Lytechinus pictus: one gene and its partners. The main gene of each other region encodes a partner of the protein of the gene in region 3 in a complex. Links are inferred from orthologs where the notes say so. Each region holds a gene or a part of one and is shown on either strand. Other genes may lie near its edges.

Region 1 (11,198 bases), on a different chromosome or scaffold from region 3:
TATTTAGTATTATTTATCTTGTTCTTACAGTTACCTATTCTAATTTATGTATTATATCTACATTTAGTTAGAAATTGTTAGCTTTTATTCTTTAGACCTATTTTTACAAGTCAATTATTTCGCAATTTTTTCTTTGTATCTTACAAAAAGACAGTACATAAAGTGAAATGCATTATCATAACTATTATTATTTAAAACCATCTAAAGTTTTATAAATATTCAATAATAGAAATTGTGTAAAACTTTCATTTTTAAAATCAGATCTTACACAAGTATAGAAACATTCAATTTGTTTTTTATTGATTTGATAGAGCTAAAATTGATTTCAAGATTCATTAATTTTGTTGTGTCTGATTCAGATACAGCACTAGCCCTTTCACTGAAATATTGATCAATATTATTGATTGATTTTATTCATATTACAAACATTTGTCATTAGTATAATCACAAAAATAATATATTGAAAGGATCATCAAGCTCTAAGAGCTTGGGAGCGATGTCCGAAATATATTTATAAATACATGTATGATGAAAAAGAAGGAATTTAGGAGTACTTTCAAAAGATTCAATATTGAACACATGCTCACATACATAAAACAAGAATTAATAAAGTTCTCCATATTTTACCATTAAATTTGCTTAGTTGAGTAGTAATGAGTAGGTCAGACCTGCCAACCTTCTACAACAAAAAAAGTATTCTTTATCTAAGGAAAAAAAAAATTAAAAGTATTTTTTGACAAAAAAAAGTATTTTTAAAATTTGCCAGCCTGTTGTAGTGAGATCTGTGACAAAAACATGTGAAATGACTCTACTTGAAAACTTGATAATTCACCCTTTTAAACATGTGCTTGTAGGCAAGAATTTACTTGTTCTTTTCATGCAACAAGTTACTGGCCCGACAGTGATTTTTTACCGGTCTGGGCCCATCGGACCAGCGCTAGAGTCACACGCTGTGTGTAACACATACTCCATGATTGGAGATTTAAAATAAAAGTAACAAATCATTCAAAAAAGTATTGGTGTATTCATAGCAAAAAAAGAGGAACAAATACTCTAAAAAGGGAACGGTTGGCATGTCTGGTCCATGCAGACGTTCGGGCAAAATTATCCCTACAAGGCTACATACTTACCAATATAATGCTCCAGATCAATCTGTTGGAATACGATCGAGTCTTTCGCGGGGTCGATCGGAGCCAGCGGAGGGCGAGGCCACTTAGGATGCCGACATGTACTCTGCTGTCTCTGCAAATTGGCACCTACATGTATATGAAGTATTGATTAAAAAAAATAATAAGAATAATAGTAGTTCAGGAAACATGCAAGGCATTGGTCATTTTATATAAAGTTAAAATATTTTCAAACAGTAATTATAATAATGATAATAATTAAACAGTATATTTCACCAGGGTAGCCACTTCAGTTCCGAAAACTGTTCTCCCAGCGGGCCCTGCTATTATTACTACCCCAGCTTTAGCTCGGCTACCTATAGGTGCTCAAGCATTCACGGAATTTCTTCCAAGCAGGTACCCATTCACCTCACCTGGGGTGAGTGCAGCACAATGTGGGTAAATTTCTTGCTGAAGGAAAACACGCCATGAGGGCAATATTGGCCAGATTTCTGCTAGTGCGCTTGCGCAGTAGGAGGCGATTTTGTTCGCTGATTTCAGTACCTGCAAAATCTGGTTGGAACCAGTTTGTGAACCAACGCATTGTAGATAATGCGCGGCAAGTGCATAGGCATTCCCAGCTAATCAAACCCAAGCGCAAGATTTGTACGCATTTAGTGTATGTGCGCGCCATGCATGAAGCGCAACTGCGTGGTACATGTACATCACAATTGCATGGCAAGGATTACTTCGCCAATTTTTTGAATAACCTAATATCAGAATTAGGTATTTATTTATAAGCAAACAGGTATATAAATTGTTCTAAATAATAGCTTGAATTACACATAAATACAGCTGTAGGCAACAATAATTATTGACTGGCACTTCTTTCTGGAAACAAATGTATTGCCCTTTTTTAATAAAAGGACCATATTGCCCTCGTCTAAAGACTCGGGCCAATATGATTCTGTTGCGGGCAACATATTTGATGTACCCCTCAAGGCCAGTCAATATAATATAAATGTATTCACCATTGTTAACTGATGGTCCTGGTCCTCCAACAGATCCATTGGTCCCCTGAGAATCCATCTCAGACTCGATCTGCTCCATCAAGGCCAGCTCTTCCTCGAATACCGATGGGTCCTGGTCTTCGAAGTCCTGGACCCTGGCCTTCTTTGACTGGGGTCCAGGCCCTCGAGCAGAGCCCCCTGGTTTGCGTTTAGAATCCATGATGGTGGCGTTAACCTCTGATCATATATAATGTACAATACAAGACTGGTTATTCAAAAACCCAATCAACATTTGTTCTTCCAATTGGCAACATTTGGTGTCTTTTTTTAATCCATTGTTATAAAAAAAGCTGGATAAAGCTCTTTGTATGCTGCCACAAAGACAAGCTAGAGGAAAAGTACTCCATGGGGGCCATACAGCCACGTAACACATCCAGAGCGATGACAAATTAAACAAAAAATAGAAAATTCTACGTGCCTTGAACGAATCCAGCAGTACGAACCTATGTTCGTTTGTCAACAAACATTCCATCAAAGTCTTACAATACAAAGATTGGACACTTGGCCGACTTCGCGTAACGCTTTGCATCGATTTACGGGTAAAATAGTTTAGTGCCTAGATCTAGTCTTTTACTTGTAGTGTCTTTGATATGATTATGAAGATAAATCGCATGCCCTCTTTAGACGAAAAAAATAGGAAAAGGCATGAAAGCTCCATATTTCGTCATCAAGAAAAAAATATTTTAGGGATATTCACGATATTAGGGGAAATTGACTTCACATAGTTCGCTCAGTTTCGTAGAAGGACTTGATTTTATTAAAGCCATCTTAAATTTGCGCAATCCCATGCAAGTGTTGCATGCGCCGGGCCTTCAATTTTCCTGTGCACGGCGGCATGTATGATGGGGTGTCTAAACTGCGCGGACTTTCAAAAAATATTCATCAGGCTTAAATTTGTTCACAAAATATTCACAATTTGTACAAAACCAATTCAAGAAAAGTTTCCACATTATGACGGCAATATCAATTTTGTTTATCATGAACTATAAGACGAAAATGTGAAGTAGGCCTAGCCCTAGGCCCTAGATCTACATGTCAGTAGAGGCGCACGGCCAATATTGGAGACTGTCTCCAATGTGTGAGATTATCTCCAATATCAGAGACTTTTGTAAAGAATTTGGGTATCCAATATCAGAGACAGTCTCCAGTTTTGGAGTCCAATTTCCTTTGTTTACATTTGCTGCAAAAAGATTAACTTGGCGGCAAATAAAAATGTGATAAGCAGATTCCTCATGAAAAATTACCCTTTTTCACCGTCTACTTTAAAAATTCACCGTCTACTTTTGTTTTGATAAGGATTTTTGTTGTCAATCACACACAAAACAAATGGGCTTCTGACCTCAGTGAGACAAAATTTTGGGTGAAAAAATCATGCTTTTGTTGGTGTCGTTTCTTTTGTCCTTTTGCAAAGCAAGTCTCCAATGTGGGAGATTGTCTCCCCTATTGGAGAGAGTCTCCCATATTGGCCGTGCGCCTCTCTACTGCATGTAACTGTTAGATAGATCTATTCTAGGTCAAGGCCAAGGGGTTTCGCCGGTATCGCGATCTCAAAATTCTATTCCGATAGACGAATGCATGCTGTGCTGGAAAACCATTCTAAAAAAGTGTGACCTAACTTCACGGACCAAAGTTTTTGTGGAGAGTTAATTAACATAATGATAATAACAAAAACTCAAGCTCAAAACTTAAAAGGTGAGCTAATTAAGAATAAGATATTTAGGCCTAGGCTATATCAGTGTGGTAAAATGTACCACAGTCTGGGGCACGCGCGACTGCTCCCTACATAGTATGTAGTACTGTGGGATGGGTTGGAGCAACCACCTCCTTGGTTGGAGCATAGAATATACATGTACTATGGGCTAGAGGCTGTGTGCACACAACAATAGACCCAAACCCCCAAGCCCTGTGCATTCATCCATGCTTGGGTGCACAACTCAGGTCTGAGCATAGCTGCATAGTCAGGCCAGCCAAGGGATCTGATGATCACTTGATAGTCGACCGGTGCGAGACGAGGACGTCTGTGTTTCTACACAAATCTACCTTTGCTTCGCCCTTCGAGTTTCAACTAGCTGCGGCAATTATACATCACACCAATACTAGCCATCTACACCAAGAATACTTCACACCAGTAATCATATCTACAAGTTACTTTGGGCCTGCTTTTTGGTTTATCTTTATTTTCACCGTGCCTTGCACCAACTCCTGTCTGGTGAGTAGGTAAAGACAGTTTCCTTCTGTTAACCCCACTTTCCACCCTCTTTCCCTCACAGGATTTATTATTAGTAATATCCCTAATTTTACCACATCAGATTGACGACAAAATGCTATAGATCTAGTAAAGTACTACATTGAACTCATATTTTTTATGATAATATCTGCTGGCAAAATGAAGATATCGTGATCACTCTAGGCGACACCCCTATACGTACTTACCCGTGCTAATAAACTGGGACTCCACTCACGCGCATTTGGGCCGCCCTAGCTTAGAACTAAGCAATATTATCTAGAAATTGTTACATTGTAGTAATTAAATATGTTCTATTAAATAAATTGATAATGTTTAATCGGTACTCACCGGTTCTTTTGTTGCATTTTCAGACCATTTCTCACAATTCTTCGTAAATATTTGCGGCAAATTTTGTCGCCATAGACAGCTTAGCATCCATCTTTATTGATAAATGGAGCGCCCTTTACGATAGTTGTTAATGCCGCGGAGAAATCGTTAGGCATTTTGGCCTGTGTTCAAGGCGTTCTTTCTGTTTTATTTTTTATATTGAAGATTGTGCATTTGTTGAATAGCGCCGTCTACGTCAGGTATGAGTAGGGAGACCGGACCTAATTTTTATCTTTGGATAGGGTTGGACTTACGTGCTATGACTGTAATCATTTTATAGGGAAAATTTCACTCATACCAACTGCCGAATTTCTTGAAGTTATTCCATTTTACTGCAAAGTTACAAGCGAAGAGAAATTGACATTTTTCCGCCAATAATAGCTCAAAAACCTCCCAAAATATGGTCATCCACGATACGCGTTCACGTCCAATTCAGGAAATGAAGGCCTCCCTCGTAAGGAGGAGTCTCCGCGAATGTTGCTAATGATGTCAGCGCGCCATGATTTTTACGCTGCACGGTCATGAATATGTATTACTTTGACCCCGACTGTCTTCAAAAGTTCGAGTTACGCACCCGTACGGGTGCGTTTAGGTCAGGTTTAGGTCAAGCCATGTCACGAGCGAATGCAATGCATAGAAAGAGAGAGGGAGAGAGAGGGGGAAAGAGACGCGATCGTAACGTCCAGAACCAATGCTTGAGAGGTTATGATGAAATGTGTCTGGGATTATTTGTGTGCATCAAAAGTGTGTCCATTCAATGTACCTTCCCACGTGGCTCACGACACGGCGTGGAAATTTCCTTTGTTTATATTTATGTCTGACATGGTCTGAGAGAGTCTGGCATTTGTCTGTGATTTGCATGTGATGTGGCAGTACATTATCGAGTTGTGTATCTGCTAAGACAGAGAAAGTTTAATCATCACCTCATGAAAAAGGTATTCCCCAAAATTCGAGACGAGATGGGGCGGGGGGGGGGGGGGGGGCGAGGCAAAGAATGAGAAGAATCAGCATGTAGTTTTCAGCATGGGATTGATTTTTTAATTGTGTGATTCTCTTTTTTATCAATTTTATTGATTCTTCTTGAAAATTGTTTTAAATGCTTTTAATCAGGCGCTGGTGGGAGGGGGGGGGGGGGCAAGTTCCCACCCACTCCATTTTGATTTCTTTTTGCTTGATTGTCAGAAATGTATCCAGTTGTCAACTTGACAGTGGCGGCCAACTTCTTTTTGTCAAAGAGCGTTAACCCCACCCCCCCCCCCCCCGTTCTGATAATTGGATTCACCCCTTCAAATAATTAACCCCCTTCTTGATTTTGCACTTTGGTTGTTACCGATTCCAACACAGTCATTATTATATTTGTCGTAGATAGTGAGTTGTAATTGATAAATTTCCTATGATTTGTGAAGGCTTTGATAACTGGGATCCAAAGAACTAATATGATTATAGTTACTCTGTCATGGCAACTACCGTGGGAACGGGGCTCGACCACAATCGTTTCCATGTTCAGAACATGGACCCCTGGGAATGACCCGGCATTTGACCTCCATTCTCAGTCTCCAGATATTTGTAAACAATGATCTTATCTTGGCCGCTGGTCACCATGGTAACGGACATTCCAACGTATGTTCAGTTCATGGACCGAGAGGTCCATGCACAGTTGAATCACGATCAGAGTTGAAACATGGAGAGGGAACTCCATAGTTGAAAAAAAAGACACTCTCGATCTGGAATAAGTGGAATCAGTTCATATAGGATTATATATAAGAGCATTTCTACTGTAAGCATTAAGATGAAGAAAAATAATGACTGAAATGAGTCCGGGAAATGGGCAAAATATTTGGACTTGGAGACGGCTTTTTTTTTTAATCATCCTTTGAAGTTCGAGGGATATATACGAAGACGGCCAGCAAAATTATTGTTCTATGAATTCAATTCTGCATGTAATTGATTTTTTTTAATGTGTGATTCTCTTTCTTATTCGTGATCTCGTTGATTCTTCTTGAAAATTGTTTTTAAATGCTTTTAATCAGTGCTGGTGGGGGGGGGGGGGGCGACAAGTTTCCATCCACTCCATTTTGATTTCTTTTTGCTTGATTGTCAGAAAATTATCGAGTTGTCAACTTCACAGTGGCAGCCAACTTCTTTTCGTCCAAACAGCGTACCCCCCCCCCCCCCCCCCCGTTCTGGTAATTCCTGGATTCACCCCTTCAAATATAACTAACCCCTCTTTTTTATTTAGCATTTTGGTTGTAACTGATTCCAACACAGTCATTATTATATTTGTCGTAGATAGCGAGTTGTAATTGATAAATTTCCTATGATTTGTGAAGGCTTTGAAAACTGGGATCCAAAGAACTTACTACATGTATATGATTATAGTTACTCCGTCATTGCAACTACCGTGGGAACGGGGCTCAACCACAATCGTTTCCATGTTCAGAACATGGACCCCTGGGAATGACGCGGCATTTAACCTCCATTCTCAGTCTCCAGATATTTGTAAACAATGACCACCTGCATGTTATCTTGGCCGCCGGTCACCATGGTAACGGATATTCCAACGAAAGGTCCATGCACAGCTGAATCACGATCAGAGTTGAATCATGGAGAGGTATACAAGTACCTCCAACACCATGGTTGAAAAAAGGACACTCTCCATATGGAATAAGTGGAATCATTTTATATAGGATTATAAGAGCCTTTCTACTGTAAGTATGAAGAAATGAGTCCGGGAAATGGGCAAAATATTTGGACTTAGAGACGGCTTTTTTTATCATCCTTCGAAGTTCGAGGGATATATACGAAGACGGACAGCAAAATTATTATTCTATCAATTAAATTCTTGTGCCGATGAAGGTACAGGTTGGTGGAGGGGGGGGGGGTAGATTGCACCTGCCTTCTGACTTTTGACATCATCCAGGACTATATAATTTAGCATGGTCAACGTTCAATTTTTTTTTTGCTTGATCTCTTTTGTTCAATTACACAACGTGAACTTGTCTCTACCCCGAGGTCTCTACCCAATTTACATAAATTCTCATCACACTGCTACTCCGACCTCTCCCCTTACATCTAACTTATCTCTTTTTCTGCTCCCTCTCTTCTCTTCTCAACCCCCCCTCTCTCTCTCTCTCTCTGGTTGCATCATCTTTGGTCAATATATCAAAGTCTGGCCGGCTCGAAAATTCATTAAAAAAAATATTTAAAAATGTCGAGGTCTCGGTAGCACACCGGCCTTGATGCATCTTGATGAAATATTATTTGGACTGTCTTCTTCCACTTACATTGTTGTTTTGGTTGAATATGATTGCTGCCGCGAGACTTTGATATATCGACCAAAGATAATTCAAAGATTGATGTAAAACATGGGATGATAAATGGACAGATCAAAATACATGCACGGTTGAATGATTACACCAGTGATGAGTCACTAAGTTTACATGTGCAAATGCAAATCATCCACGTGCATGTGTGTAAGCGATACACTCACGATCATTCACAAAGTACATGTAGACAAAATTGCATTGAAACTCCATAGCATTGCGCACAGCGACACCCGCGATGAACTTTGAATTCTCGCGCCGGTTGGGCACGTGACCATAGGCGCGGGACCGCTTGACGTCATTAAGAAAGCGCGTATTTAATCTGGCGTCATCGGGTTTACCACGCCCTTTTTTCGCTGTTCAAAAACTCGCATGGTAAGGGTATTTTGAATTGCAATCCGACACATGATCCTCAGGGATATGCGAAAAAATGATGTCATAATCGGATTCAGCATCGTCGAAAATGCAAACTGGACTCGGTTTACGTACAGAGACTTTAATCGTACTCTCGCTATCGCAGAAGGAATGTTACTTCTCATTATATCTTTTTTTGGCGAAAGCGAGTGAATTGTAAACCGATATGAGTATACAGAGCAAATTATTTCCTTTCTTTTGGTATATAGATCATGATCATACGATGTGAGGATCAAGTGTCGAAAATGCTTCAAAGTGGAATTTTGCTCCAAAATCTCTGACCATTTCGAGGGGAAATGCGACCTATGCGAATTTGCGTGTGTTAGCGCTCGCGCTGACGAACCGTTGTTCAAACCGGTGAGTGAGGGGTCATTTCCGTTGCTTCAAAAGCATGATAAAACACCATGATCTCTTTTATTTCGACATTGATTAGCTTGAGAATATACTTGATGATGATGTTGTTGGCTTATTTTGATATATATTGACTATTTTGTTTTGTGATGGCAAAATAATGAGAGACATGTCGTATTTTTGTGAGCTGCTCGTTGAAGGTCCGTGCGGCGTGTAACAAAAGGCGGAATGCAATTGACGTCCGCGCGGTCTCCCTAGTATGAGATCGAGTGTATAAATACACTCTTCCAAAATAATTATGATTCCGACCTGGCGCTGTTTAACTTCAATCTCTTTCACCTAAATTAGCGATGAATGCTAGCATTATAAAATATATATTATTAACGTCTGACGAAAAGAATAACCAACCGATCAGCTGACGAGAACGCGAATCACGTGATCTTCATATCAGCTTCGATCACGAGTCAGAAGAGAAGAGCAGCTGCCCAGAAAATCAGGAAAAAGCCGTGAAAATGTAAGTTCCCCTTCATTTCTTTCATTTTTTTGTTGTTGCTAACGATGCATTTACACTATAAAATTATAATTTAAATAAGAGAAAGGAATATAGCTTGTACTTGTGATAGGCCTATAATATATAAATATCCTGTTCTCAGAGATTCCTAACCAAAAATACTACTGATGTCGCCTATGAGGTCCATACATGTAATGTTGGACCTCATTGGTACTAGGAGTGATCGTGATGCTTGTTGAGAATATCAGATTGAGTCTGGACTGGGTCCGATACACAATTTACAGCGTGTGGGACCGACTCTAACTTTCTTATTAAGACAGGCAACTTGTAAAATTGTATCCGCGTATCCGTTCATTTATTCAAAAAGATCACGACACTGACAGTTGAAGGAATAAATAGTACTCTCAGACCCTCTTAATAATAATAAATACATCGTCAATAATATAAAGATGAAATTAGACTACATACTCACAAAATAGCGCAAGGCAACATCAATTTCGATACTGAACTTTAGTTTTTAGTAAGACAGTAAACTTCCCGGTCCGACGTCCAGCTCCTAATCATTATACGGTACACGTAGCCGTACCATATACCGTACTTGTTTGTCGCGCGCCGCGGAATCTTTAAATTCGGCGGGACAAACGACTTCCTGTTTTTGAGTACGAGTCGAGTACGTGTACGTCATAGAGATATAAGTGGGTTTTCGCCCAGCGTCGTACGACGCTATCTACGACGTAGAACGATCTCTTTGTTCGTGCGTCCGTCGCGCTCAACTCTCGCTTGTAAGCAGTTTCGCAAATCGCTGAACGCGGCCGGATCGACCGGCTGGCATGGTTGGCATGTAATGTTGACACGCCAACATGTGCATTGTATATGTTCCTACTATGTGCACACAACTGGCAGTGCCATGTGTCTTGCAGTCGCGTCGTCGACCGAGCCATGCAACGGCTTTTCAATCATATTTCAATAATCATACTCGTTTAAACTTCTACTGTAACATTTTGAAATTATACTTAGCTTGATTTTAGTATAATTGAAATGGTACTCACCGAAAAACTCGCATTCGAGTCCATGTTTTGAAGCTTTCAGCTATCAGTGTAGTCAGAGTAGAGTACAACATGTGCATGCACGCGATGGGCGAATGTGTTTACATCGATCGGCTCAGCTTGCTCGCTCTACAAGCGATCTGATTGGCTGTTGACGGCTGTTGACAAATCCTACGTTCTAATGCGGACGCCCGCTAATTTGCGGAAGAACCGTCCGTGATTTGAGCTCAAGAACACTCGGGCCTCTGTTTCCATGAAAGTTGGCGATTTTTGCACACGTACGTTCTACGTCGTACGACGCTGGGCGAAAACCCACTATATAGGGGAGGGGCCGGGGGTTCTAATTTTCGTAACACGTAAAATAGAGGTGATGAAATTTACAATTCAATTAATTCATTATTCAAGTTTCAAAAAAAGGTTTTTTTCAGCTAGTAACTGATGATGTGTTTTTTTTTCGCAATTAACCCCAGCTAGAGTTTTCTTCTAACTTGGCTCTGTTCTCGACCATTCTCCTTTGAGTTGAGTGACTTGGGGAAAATTGAAAATTAAGAGCTCTAGAAAGAAAAAAAAAATCAATTTAACCGATCACATTAGCTGAGATCGAGTTTTTATAGACCATAGACTGATTCTTTTTTTTTACTGACACTGCCCCCCGCCCCTGTCTTGATCCTTGAATTAATTCCTAATTATAAATTATTTTTTTCCCTTGGCTACACTTTAGTGAAACTTCTTTTCGCTCTCCTCTTTCCTCACTCGATCTCCG
Region 2 (10,374 bases), on a different chromosome or scaffold from region 3:
ATAATGTGCAGACTTTCAGCCACATTATCCTTTCATTGATTTTCTTTTGATACATAATTAGAAATATCTATTACAAATATCAGGGGCATGTTGTGCTAAACCTGACTTGGATGATGGTGATTGGTGAGTTCTGCATTTAATGATGATGATTATCATCATCACAATAATTTCTTGAATTTGGGTTATTTCATATATATTCATTCGATTGATTTCTCATCTTGTTCAATGGCAAATGTATTCATTATATAATGGAGTTTGCATTTTTATTTTGATATTTATATTTGTAATTTTAGTTTAAAAAACAACAACAACAAAATTGTACCGTTTGTTAGACATCTAAAATACGTATAGGCCTACCGTAGCCCATCTGTTGCTAGATTTCTTCTCTTATTGACCTGGTTCCAAATGTTTAGAACATGGTTTAGATATTTAGAATCAGGCCAATAATACACTTTCTTAATCGGGGCTAATTAGATATTCATTCAGAGATATGATACAAAACTTAAAAGACAATGACATGCGAAATATTATTTTTTTTACAATGTCAGTTTTTCTTATCTTTAATGATATATTACCTCTTTTGTTCTGAGTATCAAATTTGCCATCACTTATATTTTTCAAATATAACAAAAAAAGGCTGTTAATTGTGAGACAAATGTTCAAATAATGGAAAAGTTGTTAGGCGGTAACTTATTTAATTAATTTGAATAATCTAATAATATTCCAATAATATTCCAAAGCCTAATAAATAGTTTTGGACAAAAATACTGTAATTCAAGCAAATATATTTCAAATACTAGTGCAACACATCTTTCTAATCACCTTTTTAAAGATATTTGGATTTCAAAATTTAAGTTATTAAAAATATTTCCCCCTTTCCTGTGAAATGTGATATTGTATGAAGTTAAATGCAACTCGATTCTATCGCAGTGCTACTTATATCGTTAAGAATTATTTTGTCAGTATTACATGATTGTGTATTCTGATTTTTGTTGAATGTTGGTTTATCAACTTTCAATAATAGATCATTATCTGCATATAATATCCCTGCGAATCTATATGTTTTAATATTTATTACTCTCAGTGTATCCATGTACATGTAGGTCAGTTCATTCTGTAAGTCTATGGCAGAATTATTAGAGTTTGTTCAAACTTAGACCGACAGAGCTTAGCAACATTTATGTACAATTTCAATGAGGCATTTCAAAATCGTCCAAATTCTGGATATATATTTTGTTGTGTGGCTGGCTATCAAAAGCTGTGGGCCAGTCAAAATGATGATGATAATAATAATACTAATAATAATAAACATAGCCTAAAAGGATTCTTGTAAAAAGTTGTACATCCAAATTCTTGACATCATCAGAGTAATATGGCATGATATGGTATCAGAATTTTTCATTTTTCAGGACTTTGTTTGTGCAACTTTGGGAAATAATCTGGTGAGAGATGACTTGTGTCGTGGGAGTTCATGAACACAAGTGTAATATTTGTTTCACCACTGAACATTGTCTGAACACTGTAAACAATATTGCCGAGCTGTGTCGTGTCATGTCTGAGCCAAAGTTGAATAATAATTCATGTCTGTCATCTACTTAATTACTCCCTCCATGTTCGATATCTTTCGTATTTCATACACCTGAAGGTCTCACATCCTATATGCCACTGTATCCAACAATTAATGTTTGTATGAATTAATATACTTAGAACAAATCACAATTGCACTGTTTGGAATTTGTTTCTATGTGTGTAGTAGCATGACACTTTGAGGAGTGTTGCAAGAATGCATTTATGGTGTTAAACCATAGCAAATGAAATGATACTTTCTGTTGCAAGATTCAAACCTACAAACAGTTGCAAGACTTAAGATTAAAGTAAGGACTTAAGTTTGACTTGCAATTGAATGCATTTTTGTGCACCATCCCCTTCATGAGTCTTTATCACCTGTGTAGATTATGATCATCTTTTTTTTTTACTGGAGGATTATCGGTACTTGTATATATTAGTAAAACTATAAACTTTCATCATCATATATAATGGCATATGCAGTATATTATATGTATATTTGTAAATTATTCGATTACCATGTGCAATGTAGCATGTAATGCCCAATACGTGGAAAGTAACCCTATATAATATATCCAGACTAGCATTCTTCATTATTTTCTATCTTTCTTTTGTTATATGTGAAGGGAAATTGATTAATTTAATAATTTATACCGTTCGGTTTGATAGAGTGAATCAGTTACCATCAGTTATTAGTTAGGTGCTTGATATTACAAATGGGAGAGAGAGAGAGAGAATGGTGTAACTGAATTTTATGTCTACTGCTTGAGAATTCCTGATATACAGTATTTAGGGAAAACTGGGGGGGGGGGGGGAGGGGGTGCTTTTCACAAAGATTGATTTTAGTATGACTTAAAGGGGTGTTGCAAGAAACTTGCGATCAATGGCAAGTCATTTTTTGGTCCCTAAATCAATCATATGTCTTGCAGTTAATTGCAAATTAGTGATTGATTGCTAATTTGCTCCTTGAAATAAGAAGTTTACTCTGGTTTGCTACAGCTAACGTTGATCTATCAGTTGTAAAATTGCAACAGAACATTTGCAATTGATCGCAAATATTTTCTTGCAACACCCCCTTAGAGTCGTACTTAAATGCCTAGTTGCTTGCGGTATAAAAGACATGCAGATCAGATCATGCCAAGATGATGCAGACTACTGCGTATTGATTAAAAAGATTGCGTGTGGCATATCATGTACGTGTTGATATTTAAGTGTGACTCTAAGTCATATGTAAATCTTTGTTAAACATCCCCCCCCCAGGTTCTGTTATTCAAGTGAATTATATAGATAATGAAAACAGAGATTTGATTTGAACTGTCTTCAATTTTAATAATAGTTTGTGGACAATCAAGGCATGTTCTGGGCATGCAATGATGGAAGTACCTTGTCCAGCTCATAACATGGAATGATTATTATGCAGAGTCCACCATTTATTATGAGAGCATTCTTTACTAACCAGTGAGTCATTGCTTCGCATGAACAACAGCCTGTTATTAAAATAAAAGTTAAATTTTGTTCAACAGTAACATTGTGAGATTCTACCTACAGACTCTATCCTGACATAATTCTGTTGATACTAATTCATAAAATATAATATTCCTATTTTAAATGATAATTTATTATGTCTTTTCATGGTTTAAATATCTTTTTAATTCTATCAATTAAAGTACATGTAGTTAGTAATTAGTTACAAAGTATGTTCTCTAATAGATAATAGAATGAAGATTTAAAAAACCTGCCAGGCTTTGTTGTGCTGAGTTTTACACTAGAATGGGGAAAAAACAACAATTGGTTCCATCAAACAATGTTTTACAGATAACTTGAAACATGGGATTTCTGTTCTGTACTCTGTTCTAATATTTCCCTTCATGACGAGTGTCTATTATATCAGTTACAAAGATTTTAAATTGTCATTTATGTTTGTTTACATTGAGAATGTATGTTTCAAGTACATTATTTTAATTTGAGGATCAGCTAGATTGTGAAATCATATTCCACTATGGGATAGTTCTCTACCTAGCATCTGTTTTGTGTGTCTAAAGTATTTTTGATCCAGTTTATCCATTACCCTACCTACTTGTGCTGTAAAAATGCAATTTCAAGTTTTCTTGAAGATTCAGCGATTAAATTCCTGAAAAAAATGATTTTTTTTTTTTAAATGGACATTATGTGTTTATTTCATTGTGTTCACTTGAGTGGCCCTTGCCCCCCGCCCCTTCTCCCTCATTCGTATGAGAGAGAAGGCTCATTCTTGGACATGCAAACTCACTATTATTTTAAGTTATTATGATTCATTCAAGTCTTATCAAATCCACTGTTCTTCCCCCCCCCCCCCACCATAAGTGGTCTTGAATACGAGAGAGAGAGAAGTGATTGAGAAAAGTGGAGGCCCGTGTTATATTTACAGGTAAATTTGCATTTGTCGACATTTCATGAATCAACACTTTTAGACCAGATGATATTCTTTAAGTCGCCAGATTTCTGAGGTCATGAAGGATGTATTTTTAAAGGGGGAGTTCACCCTGACAAAAAAGTTTATTGTAGAACTATCGGAAAAATAATTGTAAAAATATTGGTGAACGATTGAGGAAAATTCCTCAAAGAATAAAAAAGTTATTAGTCTTAATTATTTGATCTGTGACGTTATATGCAACTGGCAGCTTCAGTTTCCGTCACATTGTATGGTAAAAAATCAATGAAATGTTTTTTTCAGAAAATTGAAAGTGGTTTTTAATATAGCTTCAGTATATCAATACACAAATTATTTCACAACTACTCCTACAAAGAAAATAAAAAATAAGTCATCAAGAACCATTAACAAATTAAATTTATGCATTTTATATTACATACCATAACGGGGCATTCAGCTGCTTGTTTATGACGTCACAAATCAAAAACTTGAAATTCTAATAACTTTCTTATTTTTGAATGGATTTTCTATAAAACCTTCAATATTTTTCAATTTTTTTTCTGCTTTTTTTACAACAAAGTTTTTTTTTTTCAGGGTGATTGAGCGAAGAAGGGATTGGTGTGCAGTGTACAAGGGAACAATTTTAAAAAGAAAGATTGTAAGCAGGCGAGGCTGTAGGATAGTGCGAGTCACTGTTCTTAATGCCAGTTTTTAGTTACAGTATTTCCGCTATTTATTGGCGAAATACAGTAACAGATAAGTGAAATATATTAACAAGCTATTTTCATTGACTGACCGTGCTTTGGCATGATAGCAGACGACGCTAACAAGGGTAGATAAAGAATAGACAGTCTTTTCATATATCCAAGTAATCGCAGTCAAAACTTCATTTCTTTCTTTTTTTTTACTCTTTAAGATCACGTTGTTAATTGTTATCATTGTCACTGTTGTACAATTATAAAATTCGATCAACAGAGCTATGATAATACACACTTAAAACGGGATATCTGAGCGAATTCATTGGGAGTTCCATCGACAGTCTATTATCTTAACTCATAACTTTTAAATACCCACGCCACATGTTATGACATGTTGTTGTTGTAATCAGCTGATACCTGCCAGTCCATTTCTGAAGTTTGTAGCACATGATTCATGAAAACATCAACGATTTCGATCTGAAGGTAGAAAGTTAACCTCTAGCAAAAAATGTCGAGCAAGGCAGTATCACAACAGCTAATCACTGATCAATTCAGTCAGCAAAAATCAGGACGCATTCTTGAGAAGTCAAAGGGGAAAAGCAAGCAAAATGTAGCTGTTCGAAGCCCCGCAGCAAGCCCGAGGAAATCAGAGAGAACCATCGAAGGTGAGTACCAAGCGGTAGCCGAAATGTACCGCGTAGCCGACATGTACCGCGTAGTCGATTACGATCGAGAGCTGTAGTGTCGAAGGCCAAAAGACCGGTGTTTATGCCAAAAACATTTAAATATGTAAACATTCTGTTGTCGGGCTTTTACTATTATCATATTGCATTGTCGATTGTAGATTATCATAATTTGTCGCAAGAAAAATCAAAAATTGTTTTAACTCAACTCTTGCCACAATGGGAGTACCGTACTAATATTTCAAGTTACTTTTAGATTTAATTTGTTTTCTGCAATTCTTTCTGTAAGTTTTACTTAGTGTGAAGTTACTTCAATTGTTAATTCTAACTGTTATTGTTAATGGTATTTCCATGGATTTCATAATGCCTTGTTGGGTATGCTGAAAAAAGAAAAGAAGATCGCATTTCTGGCTTAGAAATCTACCTTTAATTTTATTTATAAAAAAATTATAATCCAATGTCATGATTCGATTACAGAATACAGATCTATGGGATATAATGTCTTGTGTGTGTGTGATTCCTCATTCTAACAGTATGTATACAATCGATTATAACGTAGGATTCTAAAGTTACTCTGAATTTCTCTCAATTACATACAATCTATTTAATATTTTGTTCATTTAGTTGAGAGTGCTGAAGATCTTATCAGAAAGACAAATCTAAACACACTCCGGGAATTTGATCTGGATTGGAGATATGGACCTTGTACGGGTAGGTTTGCCATATGCTTTCACATTAATTTTTAATATGTAATGAATCTAGTGATAGCCAAAAAGAAGGCATGAAAATTCATTCAAATAAATATCATCTATATCCAGTGATGGAGCCCAGGGTATGTGGCTTTGACTTACAAAGAGATACAATTGATATTAATCTCAACTACATCAGTATCATAATTTTCATGCAGCAGTGCACGCACCATCACAAAACAGATTCAAAACAGAATTACAGTCATTTGGGGGTTACTAAGGGTGAATACCCCCCCCCCCCCAACCCTTGCCGCACTACAATCCACTTTGATACGCTACCAAGATGGAATGCGTGGCTCTTCAGTAAATTCAATAAGTTAATGGCATAGCTCATTGAAAACAAAGGAGTGCACCTATTAGTCCATACAATGGTGCATGGGTGATATTTGAAATACATTTTGATCAAACATGCATTCTATATAATTGGGCCACCAGTTTTCTGTCGATCATGCATTTGATCAGATCAACAGTACAGTACGTGTGTCCTTCTGAGACAAACTCAATGGTTTCTGAGCTATGAGGCTGCGCTTATCACTGAACATTTCATAAAAGTTGTTATATAACAAATTTGCAATTAAAAGCTCCTAGAATCTTTCAATCTAATTGGCTGATCATGAATTAGTTATCAAAATTGTGCATTCTTTATTGTAACAAGTCTTCATGAAATGGGACCCAGATGCCGAGGACAATTTAGGCCTCCCAAATGTTGTTTATTATTATTATTATGTTATTTGGCAAAATATCAAACAAGTCAAATACAATGATAAAAAATAATTGTTACAATAACACAATGATAATACAGTTAACACAAAAAATGATTAAACACTGGATTCATACGGATGAGCTGCCAGGCATTGGGCAAAGTTAACCAAATAACTATAGTCCACAGACCGCCCTAACCCATACCCCATCCAGGTGAATCCACTGTAGTATTTTCATGTGAAATAAACATAACATGCATTTGCATTTAAATTTACATATATATGAAAACAAAGTATTAAATTACTCAGAATCTCAAAGCATAAAATCATGCAAACAAATATCAATAAATACACTGTATATTAGCCTACAAGGTAAAAAATTAAATCAAAGGGAATATGCTGCGAACAATTATCTAAATCACTTTTGGTTGGCTTTGACGTGTGGGTCGGTAGGAGATTGTATAAATTGCAATGAATAATTAAAATTGAAAGTACTGTGATATCTTGGCAAGCAACCCAGCATATATTCAATTTATATTGCATTTAATGTAACATGCTAAATACAACCCCCTGAGATTTAAACTGCAATGAACATGCAATGAACGATACTGCTATTGGAATATTGAAATATTGAAATATTGAAATATTGAAACACGATTGGATATAAATAATGGCCAGTAGTTGATAGAAGATATATTATATATAAAAAGAAACGGTTAAATACATCATAATAAAATATAGATAATTCTTAAATACATAAATATGGTCATATCAAATTTTTGACACTTACTTAGAATTGACAAGATAGGAATTTAGGTGATTGCACCATGTTTAAAGAGACCCAGTAAGGATAGAGTTCCTCAGGTCACAAGGTAAAGAGTTCCAGAGTCTGGGGAACTCATGAATTGGGCTGAAATGCAACCCATCTTTGCATTTAAAAAATCAATGTGGGAGATGATGATATTGATATCATAATTTATAGTACCTGTTGTTCGAGCAGGTTAATGAAAGTGCGAGCAAATCACTTAAGAAGTATCTGGACTAATCTTTTACAATGTGCCTTGTTGAAAAACTTGTTTTGAAATTGATCCCTTTTGCAGACATGCCAACTGTTCCCTTTTTAGAGTATTTGTTCCTCTTTTTTGCTATGAATACACCAATACTTTTTTTGTATGATTTGTTTCTCTTTTTTTTTTCTGATCATGGAGTATGTATTATACACAGCGAATGACACTTGCGCCGGTCCGACAGTCCCAGACCAGTAAAAATCACTGTCGGGCCAGTAACTTGTTGCATGAAAACAACAACTAAATTCTCACCTATGAGCACATGTTTAAAAGGGTGAATTATCAAGTTTTCAAGTAGAGTCATTTCACATGTTTTTCTCACCGATCTCACTACAACATGCTGGCGATTGTTATGTTGAGCCAAATTTTTTAAAATACTCTTTTTTTTTGTCAAAAAATACTTTATTTTTCCTTCTAAGAATACTTTTTTGGTTGTAGAAGGTTGGCAGGTCTACTTTTGAATGTCATACATTCAAGTTCTTATGGAGTACATATCTGTCTTGAAAATCCAACATTTTTTTACCTTTGACAATTGCTCTGGACTTCCCTTTAAAATGAGAATTGCAATGTGGTTATTGAATGGTTAGGTTAGGATTAGGGTAATGTAATTGTGTTAGATCTTGGATTGATTTTTGTGTGCTGTATGGAGGGGGGTAACATGATTGTTGTTAATCATGTATTTGTATTATTGTTATTGATGTAGGAATCACTCGTTTGGAGAGATGGGAAAGAGCCGAGAGCCATGGTCATAATCCTTCACCTAATATCAAAGATCTCATTTTAGAATATGAAGATGATGAGGAGTTTGTCCAAAAGTAAGTTGAGGACTTTCTTAGTACCCCCACCTCATTTCTATTACTAGTAGTTTAGATTTCTATTGTTTCATTATCTTGTGCAATGTTCATTTATAATATAGTTCATGTATGAAATTAGAACGAACTTCAAAGCTGTTTTCTTCCTTGTTGATTTAGTTTATCCAATTTGGATTATAATTCTTTACTATGATACTGAAAAATTGAAGTTAATAATTTCAACATATAATTTACATTGATTCCATATATGTGTACATATATTATATATTGTAATTTAATATTGATTTCATTCATTTGCTTATTTTAAAATATTTTGTGTTTTCTTTCAGCATCTGGTCTGGATACCCTCTATGAATTGCCGTCACCTACCCAGATACTATAACTGGCTGACATGCATGTAAATTATGTGACTGTGCCAAGGATTGCAAAAAACTCTTTGTGTCGCCATGTACATGTACATTCCAACAAAGATCAAATGAACTCCAATCTGAGCGCAACGTTAGGACTCATCTTACTAACAGATCATTCTCAGATTCAGATATGCATATGTTCTCTCTTTCTCACTTTCTGTCTCTCTTTCTTAAGTAAAATTTGCCATTACATGTAATGCAGATTTTGACATTTTGCCCAGAATCATGTTACATGGGATGGAACTTGAGAACTAATTCCAGTTATAAATCTGAAGTTTTAATGGCATTGGAGATGTTATTGTTCATTTGAATTCAAATAACTCTTGGAAGAGTGGCAAAATGTGAAAATTAAAACTAGTGATATCATAAGTTTGAAATAAATTTGGATACATATTAAAATTTGTCGGGGGGTCTGTTTAAGCTGCAGTTGTTGGGATCTTCAAATGGGCAAATCTGATAAGATGTATATATACTAACATTGTCTTACAAATTACTTTCTGATTTTTTTCTAAGGAATTACTTTTTGAATATTGAAGAAAAGTAAGACCTAATCATGATTTTTTAGTAATAATCTCAATAGACATCAATTACTATACTTGAATCATAAACATTTAAGAAATTGGTGCTATTTTGGCCTGTTTTCAACATAGATGAGGTGGTCACTATCATTAAACCGATTCACCTAGTTGTGCATCACTTAAACTGGTATTTTACATATTTTCCTGGATTAATCTTTCAGTTTACTCTCTTATTTGATTTTGATAAATATATGTTTTTAACATTTCGTTTTACATTGCCATATGAATGTTGGATGGTCTTTTAATTGAACATGTACAAGTGTGATATATATATTTGTACCTATGTATTTGCATTCAGAGAACATTTTTTTAAGTCATGTTACACATTGCCTTTTTCATTTGCATGATTTTATTGTTGTATTATGAAAGTTGATATTCATAGAAAGATATTTAAAGAAATGTGTACATGAATGTTGTACATGTAGCATTGCGGTTTTTAATGTTTTGAGTAATGTGAGCGGATCATTGCCAACTGTTGGCAGTTGTGTATTGAATAACAAGCCACTTGTAATTCTAAGCTTTTCCTGAAATACTAGCAGTTTTTCTTGCTTATCATATTACTCGGTGTTTATTGGTGGTTTAAAACGAATTTGATTGGTTGAATACTGTTATGCAGCTACAGCTTACATCATCCAGTTTTGTTAACTGGTAATTCTTATCTTTCAAGCTTATGTTCAAGTATGAAAACCAGAATATTACC
Region 3 (10,942 bases):
CCTCCCCCCGGCCTGTTTAGGGTTTAAGGGGAAGTTCACCCTGAGAAAAAGTATGCTGTAAAAATAGCAGATAAATAATACAAAATATTGCTGAAGGTTTGAGTAAAATCCATTAAAGATTAAGTTATTAGAATTTGAGTTTTGGACTTGTGACGTCATAAACGAGCAGCTTCCCCATATGTTATGTAATATAAAATGCATAAATTTTAATTTAATGGTTCGTGATGACTTATTTTGTTTTCTTTTTAGGAACGGGTGAGAAATGATTTGTCTATTGACATACTGAAGGTACACTGGTACAGTAAAAACCTTTTTCAATTTTATGAGAAAACAACAATTCATTGACTTTTACCATACGATATATGAACTAAAGCTGCTGGCATATGACGTCACAAATCAAATAATTGGAATTCTAACAACTTTCTAATTCTTTGATGGAGCTTTCTCGAACCTTCGGCAACATTTTAAAACTATTTTTTCTGCTATTTTTACAATAAAGTTTTTGTCAGGGTGAACTTCCGCTTTAAGTTTAACACACTAGACATTTACCCCATTTCCTCCTAGCCGATTCCTCAAGGGCAGGTCTCATAAGAGTCAACCGTTCTGAGTACAGATGTGCATACTGTCTCTGGTAGTTCCGATCTTGCAGCATAAATCGAGAAGACAGATTTTCGTAGTCGCAAGACAAACGTTGAAAAGTTTCTTGTCCGGTCGACGCCATTTCTGTCTTTATTATCATAAACCTGCAAAACAATATAAGAAAACTGATAATGAGGAATATGGGTCTTGTGAGATTACAATAGACACTAAAATTTTGAATAGATTAATGATTGATTGAATTAATAATAATAATATTTGAATATTATTGAATTGAAAATAGATGTTTAAAAATAGATGTTTAAAATAAATCCTAAATACAAACAAATCAAGAATGTCTACTCAACTGAAGTACTTGTGCTTAAAAAACAGTCTTATTACATCAACCAATCATCATTCAGTATAATTGACTAGGTATCTTCATTCATCTGTTGGGCCTACAGCATAACAGAAACTTTGCCAAAAATGCTCAACAGCCAACCCAAATCAAGTATTTAAAGGAAATTACCACTGGATGGCAAAGTTACAACAATGTTAATATTTAATACAATGGGGTCCTGATTATCATCCATTAAACATGTATCTAAGACAATGAGTTCTTTGGATTTTTTTTCAATCAACTTTACTTGTTTCAAATTAGCAACAACTGCCAGTTTTTTTTTTTTTTCTAGGTATCTGCATCAAATACTGTCAGGCTAAACCACAAATGTGACTTCATCCTGAATGCATCCTTGAAAACTGTGTATTACACAAAATATAACAAATATGTTTTGTTGAAAATGGAGGAAAATTATTATTGATTTTGCCAATCCAGGGTTTTATTGCCTTGTTGCAAAGATTAGAACACATGTAAAATGAACATGATATGATAGTAAAAATGTATCCACAATAGAAGATATTTGATAAGCAAGGCATTATAATAAAGTCATAAATGCTTGGCTCCTAGCAAACACGCCTTTAAAGTTGATAGATTCTAGAAATAACAACAAAGCATATCTCCACACAGTTTTGAGGTGGAAATATAATCATGATGATCAACATTGTGAATTGTCTTTATCTCCTAAAAAGATATAGGGGTCTAGATCTAGGTAACATTTTTTTGTCTTGAGCTATCAGGAATTAAAAAAAGAGAGGATTGTAAAAATTGCTGAGCATGTACTTCGTCCAAAAGAATTTTAAGATAGAAAACTAATATCAATATGATTCATGTGTGTAAATAGTATCTTGATCTCCCCAAAAGATTAAGAGTCATCAGTCATGATTTTTTTTTTTTTGGAGTGATCAAAATCTTGACAGCTGAAATCTGTTTGTTACTCATTTTGGAGGTTTTAGATAATTTGCTTGGTTATTTTTCTTAGCGTAAGGCAAATGTACTTTACTAATATTACTTTCATAACTTTGTGATGTCAATAGCTAATTAAGTTGATCTGAATACACAAAAACAATATCATCATCATCACCATCATCATCTTGATGAGTTTCCAGGTCTATCTCTCATCCAAATTCTTTGTAAAATAATTTTTTTCATCGCCACCATGATCACCACCACCACTACCACCGCACCACCATCATCATCAACCATATGATTAATTTCAAAATCATGACCATGAAAAAACCATTGCATCTTTAATTCATTTCATTCACCAGTTTTCAAACTTTTACACATTTATCATCCATTGCCATAGCCCATGGCATTGCCATTGGATCTATCATCTAATAACAACGCCACGGTTAGTCTCCAACGTTTATTCTCTCAGTCTCAATTTAATTTCATGTTCTGGAATTCCTGGCCTGGCCTTGATAGATATAATGTGTTAGAAATGTTCAGTTCAGTTCAGTTCAACTTTATTCAATTCCAATATTGAATAAAGATCCAAAATGTTAGATCTATCAACAGTTAGTAGTAGATCTAGAGTTTTGACATCCAATTCAAAGGGATGGAAGATTATCCTGTTGACACTGCTTCAAAATGTAGGTGGTGACTTTATATTTAATTGTAATTATGATCTTAATATTTTAAAACTGACAATTCCTGAATGGTATAAAGATGTCATGATTAGTTGGAGCACAGTATTTCAAAAAACATAAAAATATGTGACCAAATAATATGGAATAATAGATGCATATTACAAAATGGAAAATCTTTTCATAAGCCAGAGATAAAAAAACAAAGGTTTTGTTAAAGTGTTACATATGTTGGATGAGTATGGCAGACCACTAAGATGGAAAGATGCTAAAAATAAAGGCTTAACATTTGTTACAAGTTTATGCCATCAAAATGGAAAGTATTTTTTCTATCTCAAAGCTTTCATCCCATTGTCGACAACATTTTATTGATTCCAACTTTAACTATTGATGGCATCACTAGAGAAGTAACAGGTGTACCAAAGTATATTTTTTACACATTTTTTTGAAGGAAAATAACCCATCAATTTCGAATATATTTACATATTTAAAAGACACTTATGGGCTTCAACAAGAAAGAAGTAAGAGAACTCTTAAAACTACCTCTACGTACTACTATAAATACGAGACTTCGAGCTTTACAATTCAAGATTCTTAATAATTTGATTCCTACTAAGGTTTGGTTATTCCGTATTAACAAGGTAACAGATACACTTTGTACATTTTGTAAAGTATCACCAGAAACTCTAATGCATCTTTATTATTCTTGCCACGACGTTAACCAATTTTGGAATAATGTTAACTGGTACACTTTTTGCTTCACTAGATCTTCCTGATTTCCTCTCAGAAAGATATGTTCTTTTTGGTATCTGTAAGCCCCAAAGTCCCAGAAATATATTTATATTGAACATTCTGCTCCTGACAGGTAAACAATGTATTTAGATGTCGATGTGACGAAACAAAACCTACTCTCCACCATTTTTGTAACTTTCTTTTATCATTTGAAACTGTTGAACATACCATAGCACAAAGGAAATGAAAATTAGGAAAACATGATGGCAAGTGGGCTATCATTCTGAATACTTTAAAGAGGCGTTAAAGCAGAAGGCTGTTTTTGTTATGTTTATTTTTTTATAGGCCAGGCCAAGTGCCTGAATTTCTTTTGTTGTAAACAAACATAGGCCTAGTCATATGTTTTCTTATCTTATACTACTTAAGTTAGAGTTAGACATGTTATTTTATATGCGGTTATCTGAACTTAGTTTTATATGTGATCCATTATATCATGAATGTTTTGTTATGTATATTTTGATGAAAAGGATCAATAAACATAAATTACAAAAAAAAGTAGATTATTAGATGATCTAACGGTTCAGTCGCACTCGTCATGCTCGTGCACTCAAAGTGAGTCAAACACTATTCGTCAAAGAGGAGGGTGTTCACCCGGTGTATTGCACCTGCCGGTCCCCGGTACTACAATACTGCAAGAATCTTCAGGATTGAAGGAGACAGTGTAGCTTGAAGAAGAAGAAGAAGTCTTGTCTTTCTTTAATAAAACTAGAGTCACTGCATGCTGCAGTCCCACTTACTGAAATTCATGTTTGCATTTTTATGAAGCAAGGCAAGCTAAATTATCCATTCCTAAAAATCTCGATCGCGAGGCCGAATGAGCTATCATGTATCATAAAATATGGTATTATTTCTGAATATTCGCAACTTCAAATTAACGTACCTACCTCAGCTACGCTTCGTCAAATCGATGCCAGATGGAGAGCCGAGGATTGGGAGCGCACTGGGGTTAATCGCACGGCATAGCCATAGGTTAATCAAGCGAACTCTGCGAATTCGGGATTTTCCCGCGTCCAATATGTAATTTGGTAAAAGTCGTTGTTTAAGAATAGTTTTGAATAATATTTCGAAATCAATTGTTACCTCTCATATCATTAAATAAATAATTTAATGTATTGTATATATTTTTGATATACATCAAAATGATATTCGACTCCATAGAGTAGAAAAGCTATTGAAATTTAATAAATAGTATTGAATAATGTTTTGTTCCTTGTGGTTACGTCATCATTGTTTACATCACGCAGCTGGTCGATGGCGATCGTTGTCTTTCTTTGTTCCAACAGGTTTGAAATAAGGCATTTCAGCACTCTTCAAACGTTACCATACGATAGATCGGGATGATTTAAAACGAATAAGAGCTATATTTTCAATTTCTGTTTTAAAAGTCGTAAGTATAATCATTTTATTATCATGATCATGAACAAACTGCAGCTGCCTGCGGCCTGCCTGCTCGAATTACGAACTGAGAGTGAGACGAGTCGATGATGAAGATGAGGATTGCAATGCATTTCGCAATGTCTCTTTGCCAAGGCCATGGGCTTTCCCCGGTTGGCTAAGTTTTTTTACTTTTAGGGTACTTTTGCATTGTAATTTTTTTAGACTTAGACTGTGTGTTTCCAATTTATCATTCTCCACAAACCTGCCAATTGTTGGACACAGACAAGGATCTATACTAGCTTAATTAGTTTGACTTTATATACTGATTACTGTCTTCATATTTTCGTAAACATTGATTGACAAGTCAGGAATTTTCATGATTTTTACCTCTCTTTTTTTCCGTTTAACTATATTTATAATATGTAAGGCAGGGTTTAGGAATTTCCTTTGATAAGTAGTTTATACTATTTTTAATTTTGAAACAAAAATAGTAGTAGATCTACTAGGTTTAGTTGATTGGAGCAATAATTGTTTATGATAATTGATATTGATAAATTTTGTTGGTGGTTTGTTTTTTCATTCATTATCTAAAATTGGGTTTACATCTCGGTTACAAACATAACAGGGGCAATTCACATACACATCATGTTTAAGAAAATGAGTAGCCTAAATATAATTTCTAAACTGACAGGAAATATCTCAAAAAAGCTTAACTTTAATTATTTGTTTTCTTCCTTTCGTGCTCTTGCAGGTCATGTTTAATCTCACCAGCCGTTTAGTTCAAGCCAAGGAGGCCAGTAATCCGGCCTCTCATCATGAGGATGAAACGGTGAAAGCCGGAAGACAAGCAGAAGAAAGTCTAATCAAAGACCTTGTCCATAGAGCTGGGGTGCCGTCCTCGTGCATCTACCAAGGTCTTAGGGTTCCCGATACATTCCAGACGAGACGATATGAAATAGATGTTGTCATTTTGACAGGTAAAATATTCCTTCAATAGTACTACCAGTCACAATTCTTTGACTCACTATTACCTTTTTCAGCCAGAGAACAATAGAATCAGTGGACCAAATCTATTGTTCTCTGGTTGAAACAGGTAATAGTGATTCGGTGACTGGTACTGTACTTGTTTCGATCACTTCAAAATTGTTTGAACGGGGTTTTAATCAAGAGAACATACTTTTGTGTACATCAACCATCTTCACGAATCATAGGTTTTCTACTCTTTTTTCCCCACAAATTATGAGCATTATCTGATTATGTGCAGATATTATCTCTTAGGAATTGCTCCTTGCAATGTTTTAAAGGTGAATCCCCCCCCCAAAAAAAAAAAAGAACAAATATATTTAAGATAATAATGATAAAAATCCTGCAAGTAGATTTCCTTTCTTAATGCAACTCTGTATACTGTACTTATATGTTATTTTGCAAAAACTTGCCTTGTAATCATATTGTATTTTAAGTTATTGACCCCCAGTTTGGGCTGCAAGTCAACATGTCCATTTTATATAACAATAAATACATGTAAATAAGAAATAAACAACAAATACATGTACCATGATAATGATAGTAATATTTTTTTTTTATTTAACTTGAAAAAGATCAATAAAAAGTGACAATACAAATGATATAAAATAAAAGATGACATGAAGATGAATGAAAATATAATGAAATGAATGAATAATTGAGTTCTTAAAAGAAATTGTTTGATTTAGTACTACATCGGCAGATGAAAGAGATATTTTCAAATTCATGGCACGTGTATTCTCTCTTTTTGACAGAGTATGGAATCTACTGCATTGAGGTCAAAAACTGGTCTGGGAAGATATCACTGAGCAAAAACGGCAAATCATGGGTCCGACAAAAAAACGTCAAAGACTCTAACACTCGATCAAGTGTGACCTACGATGAATCACACACTAATATCCTCCAAGAACTCAAATCTAAGACTCGGCTAATCAGGAACAATCTGCTGAGGAATGAAGCCTGTCTGGCAGAGAAATTCTTCTTCTCCAGGGTAGTTTTGATGAATCCCAAATCGGAGTTGGATAATTCGTTGTGGAAAGAGAATGAGATCGTGACCCCCGATAGGTACCCGTTGTTCCTGGATTCACTGAAGTCGAGCTACACAGGCAAGGTGGCCGGGTCTATCGTCCCTTCTTTTATCACAGGTATATAATTCCATCTAAGTTGTCATAGATTAGGGCTGGACCCAGGATTTACCTTGGCAAGAACTCGTTGATGATAAATTTATTAAAAAAAAGAGAAATGTGGTCAAAGGTCACCACAATCAGAAGCACCCCCCCCCCAAAAAAAAAAAGAGAAGAAAAATGAAGAATTAAAAAATCCTCAAATGGGGGAATTGTGGGCATATGCCTCTTTTGTACACCCCCCCCCAAAAAAAAAAAAAAAAATGAAAATCCTCAAAAGGGTGAAAATATGGCATATGCCTCTTTTGTTCTCCCCCCCCAAAAAAATAATAATAATACTTAAAACTCCTCAAAAGGGGGAAATGGGGCATATGCCTCTTTTGTACCTCCCTCAAAGCAAAAACAAAATCCACAAAATTTAAAAATGGGGGCATACAAGTCTCTTTTGTACCCCCCCCCCCCCCCCAAAAAAAAAAAAAAAAAAAAAAAAAAAAAAAATTCTGGTGTTGGTCATTCTATATCTTTATCCTAGAGAGTAGACAGTACATGTATGCTTGGAGATTTTGAGACAAATATGTAAACATGTATCTATACTACCAAAAAGATAGGCTTTGATCACAATGTAAATGTATACAAACTATTCCAATAAGTTCTGATTTCTTTAATTTTCTTTATGTCAAGTTAATTTCCCTTCTTGAGATGCAGTGAAATAAAGATTGACCATCTGGACTTTGCTTCTGAGTCTGATTGAGTATGGTACACAATTACAATCGATATACAAATATAGTATACAATTTGTTGAAGTCTATAATTTTTATTTCCAGATAGTGTTTAGACTACTCAAATCCACAACGCTTGAACTTAGCTCTGTTTATTTCAAACAATGATTTGACCAGAATTATTTACCAACGGGTCCAGTAAGGTCACTTTAGATTAAAGTTATCCTGGATAAGTACAGTATTTATCTCTTTCTCTTTGTTTTAGGTCAGTTATCATACAGTGCTATGGAATCGGCCAGGCATGCGTTAAACCAAATAGGAACCTGGGACATAGTGCATTTACATGGTGGAAAACAAATAATCGGTGAGCAATTCAATGGATGAAGTAATATTATTGTCACTCTGTACTCTGCTCTTGAATATTGTATGAAATTTGTGAATACTACATGTAGATACCATGAAAGTAATAATGCACCGAATGAGATGATAATCCAATTGAACCTATCTTTTTGTATCATTTTGTGAGAGAAGTTAGCTATTTTTTTCTTCCTCGCTTCTAAAGGTCAATACTACCTTCATAATGAAGTTCACAATTCAAGTTAATTTCCGGTAATTACATTGATGATCAGCAAATAAATAAATCAAAGACTGAAATTAATTTGACTGTGATGAATAATATTGTGAATATCTCTTTACCAAATGCTGTATTCTAAGTAAAACCTTTTTTATATGAATATTATTTTGTTATTATTGATAGTCCTTTATGGAGAATGTACCAACTTTTTTTTTCTTATGGTCAATTTCATAAGTCTTCTTATCGATTTTAGAACTTTGATCATCGCTCACTAGTGCATCATTGTTCAGTGAAGAGGCTTCCTGGGCCCCATTGCGTAAAATTTACCATTATGGTACCTTTGCAATCCAATGGTAACTTGCATGGAATCCTTGATTCTAATTAGCTGTTGATCGGCGTTCCCATGGTGCAAGTAGTTACCACTGGATGAAGTGGCGGACCGTGACCCGGAGGAGACAATGATTGGAGAGGCACTGTATTGTCTGTGAACAATGCTGTGCCCCTCCAATGCTTTGTTTCCTCTGGGTCACGGTCTGCCACTGACTGGATGACAAAGTTACCATAATAGTAACTTTTATCCAACGGAGCCCTGGGCCCCGTCTTACAAAGAGTTACGATTGATCCAATCAATTGTAACTCTATGGAGATCCATCAGTGTCATAATTTTTCCTACAAAAAATTTGCAAAATGTCCCTTGTAAACAAAGGCAAACACACCAAATTGTCAAGAAAACAATGAATTTATGTACCTTACGTCATATCTAGAAAACATTTTGAACATTCATGCATTTTAGATGTTGACGTTGCTGCATGGCTGTCCATAGTTGTGATTGATCGGATCAATCGCAACTCTTTGTAAGACCACCCAAACTTGATTGTTCGGGAAGTTTGTTCTTGTAGTAACTTCTGAAGGTTTCCGTGGCAAAGAAGAATAGTGTAGTAGGTTTCATTGTACACCATGTATCTTTCTTGGGCAAGTGTTGGTCCTGAAAAGGACCACTCAAACTCGACGTTTCGACGAGTGTGTTCTTGTCGTCTTCAAGAGAATGTTCTTTGTTTGTTCTTGTTTTCAGGAATTGTACACTAAAAAAAATATGGTGTACCCTGAAGCCTCTATACTGATTCGTTTTTTGCCATGGGAATTAACCTTCAGAAGTTATTGCATTATTGTTATTCATTTATTAGGTGACTACAAGGGAAATAAAGACCTCATTCTGAATAGGAAGACAGCATCTCGGATGGAATTCAAGCATCAGCGTAGCTCAGTCCTCGGATCCCTTTGGGCAGTCATGGGATTCACTCCTCAAGTAAATATCCCTTTTAATTAATACTTTTAATTAATAGTCATCAACTTGCCTTTTATCAACCATATCACCCCCAGTTATCATAATTTCTGTTCTAGTGCAATTTACTGTATAATCTATATTAATTATAATCTTGTTGCATATATTGCAATGGGTCTGCTTGAGTGATTACAATATTTTGGGCTATTACACATTTGTATGATATTATTAAATAAATAATACTGTGTAGATCTAGTATTTGTTTGATTTATTGGATTTAGCATCCTCATCTTGTTCATTATTAGTTTAGTAATGATTTGGATCAAATGAAATGTTTTTGTTTTTTCAGTATGCAAAGACTTTATATTTACCTATCAGGCCTAATCCTAATTTTTGGACTTCTGTTTGATGTGTAGAATTTTCCGTCTTGAGAGAAACCACGTCATTTTTCACATGAATATTTTTTAAAATGTGCAATTAGTTTTGAATGACTCTGAAATTACTTTGGATTCATTTGTTTAGGTGGCAGTGACGATCTACAAGCGCGGAGGAGAAGGATGGTTATGGAATGCCACTTGTGCCCAGGTCAGTGTGTCGTACGATGCAGAAATCTCATTCCGAGCCGCTGGGGCGGAGGTCGACGCCAAGATACAGGCCAATGACATTGAGAGTATCACCTTGAGCACGTAGCTACGTTCTGGTGATGAGGTTGGTTTTAAATTTCAATCCGATGACATTCATCATGAGTAGGCACCTACATCAGGGTGAAAAGGTTGGCTATTATATACAACCTGATGACTTTGAAAGTAACATCTGGAATCTGGAGTACATAGCTATCTTGGTTATGACGATGGTTCTACATTGAAGTATCTGGAGCTCTTTCTACTAGCTACATCCTGGCGAAGAGGTGAAATTTCAACTCAAGGACATTGAAACTATCATTTTGAGCAAATGCACATTCATCCGGTTACGAGGTTGGTTCTACAATGTAAAATGGAACCCAATGATGTTGAAAGTAGCATTTCAAGTACACAGCCGCATCATGGGGAAGAGGTTGATTCTGAAATACAGTTCTATGAAGTACATGTATTCTTTGGCATGTAAATGTGCACCAAGCTATTGAGATACTAGTCATACAGTGTGTCCAACAAAAAGGGAACCTGTTTTCAGAGATAGATTCCACAATTATTACATATGTTTTTACTATAAATTTGGTTCTCATGGCAAGAGTGGAATCTCATCTCTAATTTAGAACCAACAGCATAGCAAATCGTTCATGCATGACAGATTACAAACAATAAATATTCAGACATATCAGAAACGATTTACGCAGAAATTCCCATGTGAATCTGAATCTACTCTCATTTCAGGGATCAGTGAGAGAATCTTAAAAAAGAATACAAAGAAATGCTCATGAGCCAGACGTCGAGTAAGCACGGTCGTTGTATCACGAACCAATCTTGTCAAATTTTTCTGCGCAATCTAATTT

The links.
Region 1: DNA polymerase delta subunit 2-like (region 3) and DNA polymerase delta catalytic subunit-like share a complex: the UniProt entries of both Homo sapiens proteins name them as parts of the tetrameric DNA polymerase delta complex. The link is inferred for Lytechinus pictus from reciprocal best matches to the Homo sapiens genes POLD2 and POLD1.
Region 2: DNA polymerase delta subunit 2-like (region 3) and DNA polymerase delta subunit 4-like share a complex: the UniProt entries of both Homo sapiens proteins name them as parts of the tetrameric DNA polymerase delta complex. The link is inferred for Lytechinus pictus from reciprocal best matches to the Homo sapiens genes POLD2 and POLD4.

What each region holds. Positions count from the first base shown.
Region 1 is NC_087253.1:6,219,684-6,230,881, forward strand, and holds the start of DNA polymerase delta catalytic subunit-like, read right to left. Parts: upstream 5,137-11,198; 5' UTR 5,064-5,136; coding exon 5,045-5,063; intron 4,875-5,044; exon of another isoform or gene 4,752-4,874; intron 2,354-4,751; coding exon 2,138-2,353; intron 1,257-2,137; coding exon 1,131-1,256; intron 1-1,130. UniProt on the Homo sapiens protein: As the catalytic component of the trimeric (Pol-delta3 complex) and tetrameric DNA polymerase delta complexes (Pol-delta4 complex), plays a crucial role in high fidelity genome replication, including in lagging strand synthesis, and repair.
Region 2 is NC_087246.1:32,441,619-32,451,992, reverse strand, and holds the start of DNA polymerase delta subunit 4-like, read left to right. Parts: upstream 1-4,600; 5' UTR 4,601-5,182; coding exon 5,183-5,339; intron 5,340-5,981; coding exon 5,982-6,068; intron 6,069-8,577; coding exon 8,578-8,689; intron 8,690-9,015; coding exon 9,016-9,040; 3' UTR 9,041-10,374. UniProt on the Homo sapiens protein: As a component of the tetrameric DNA polymerase delta complex (Pol-delta4), plays a role in high fidelity genome replication and repair.
Region 3 is NC_087254.1:6,786,099-6,797,040, reverse strand, and holds the start of DNA polymerase delta subunit 2-like, read right to left. Parts: upstream 4,825-10,942; 5' UTR 4,239-4,824; exon of another isoform or gene 4,235-4,238; intron 744-4,234; 5' UTR 740-743; coding exon 550-739; intron 1-549. Other genes in the region: uncharacterized protein LOC129269026, read left to right, coding at 4,857-4,901, 5,483-5,708, 6,510-6,899, 7,863-7,961, 9,356-9,477, 9,976-10,143. UniProt on the Homo sapiens protein: Accessory component of both the DNA polymerase delta complex and the DNA polymerase zeta complex.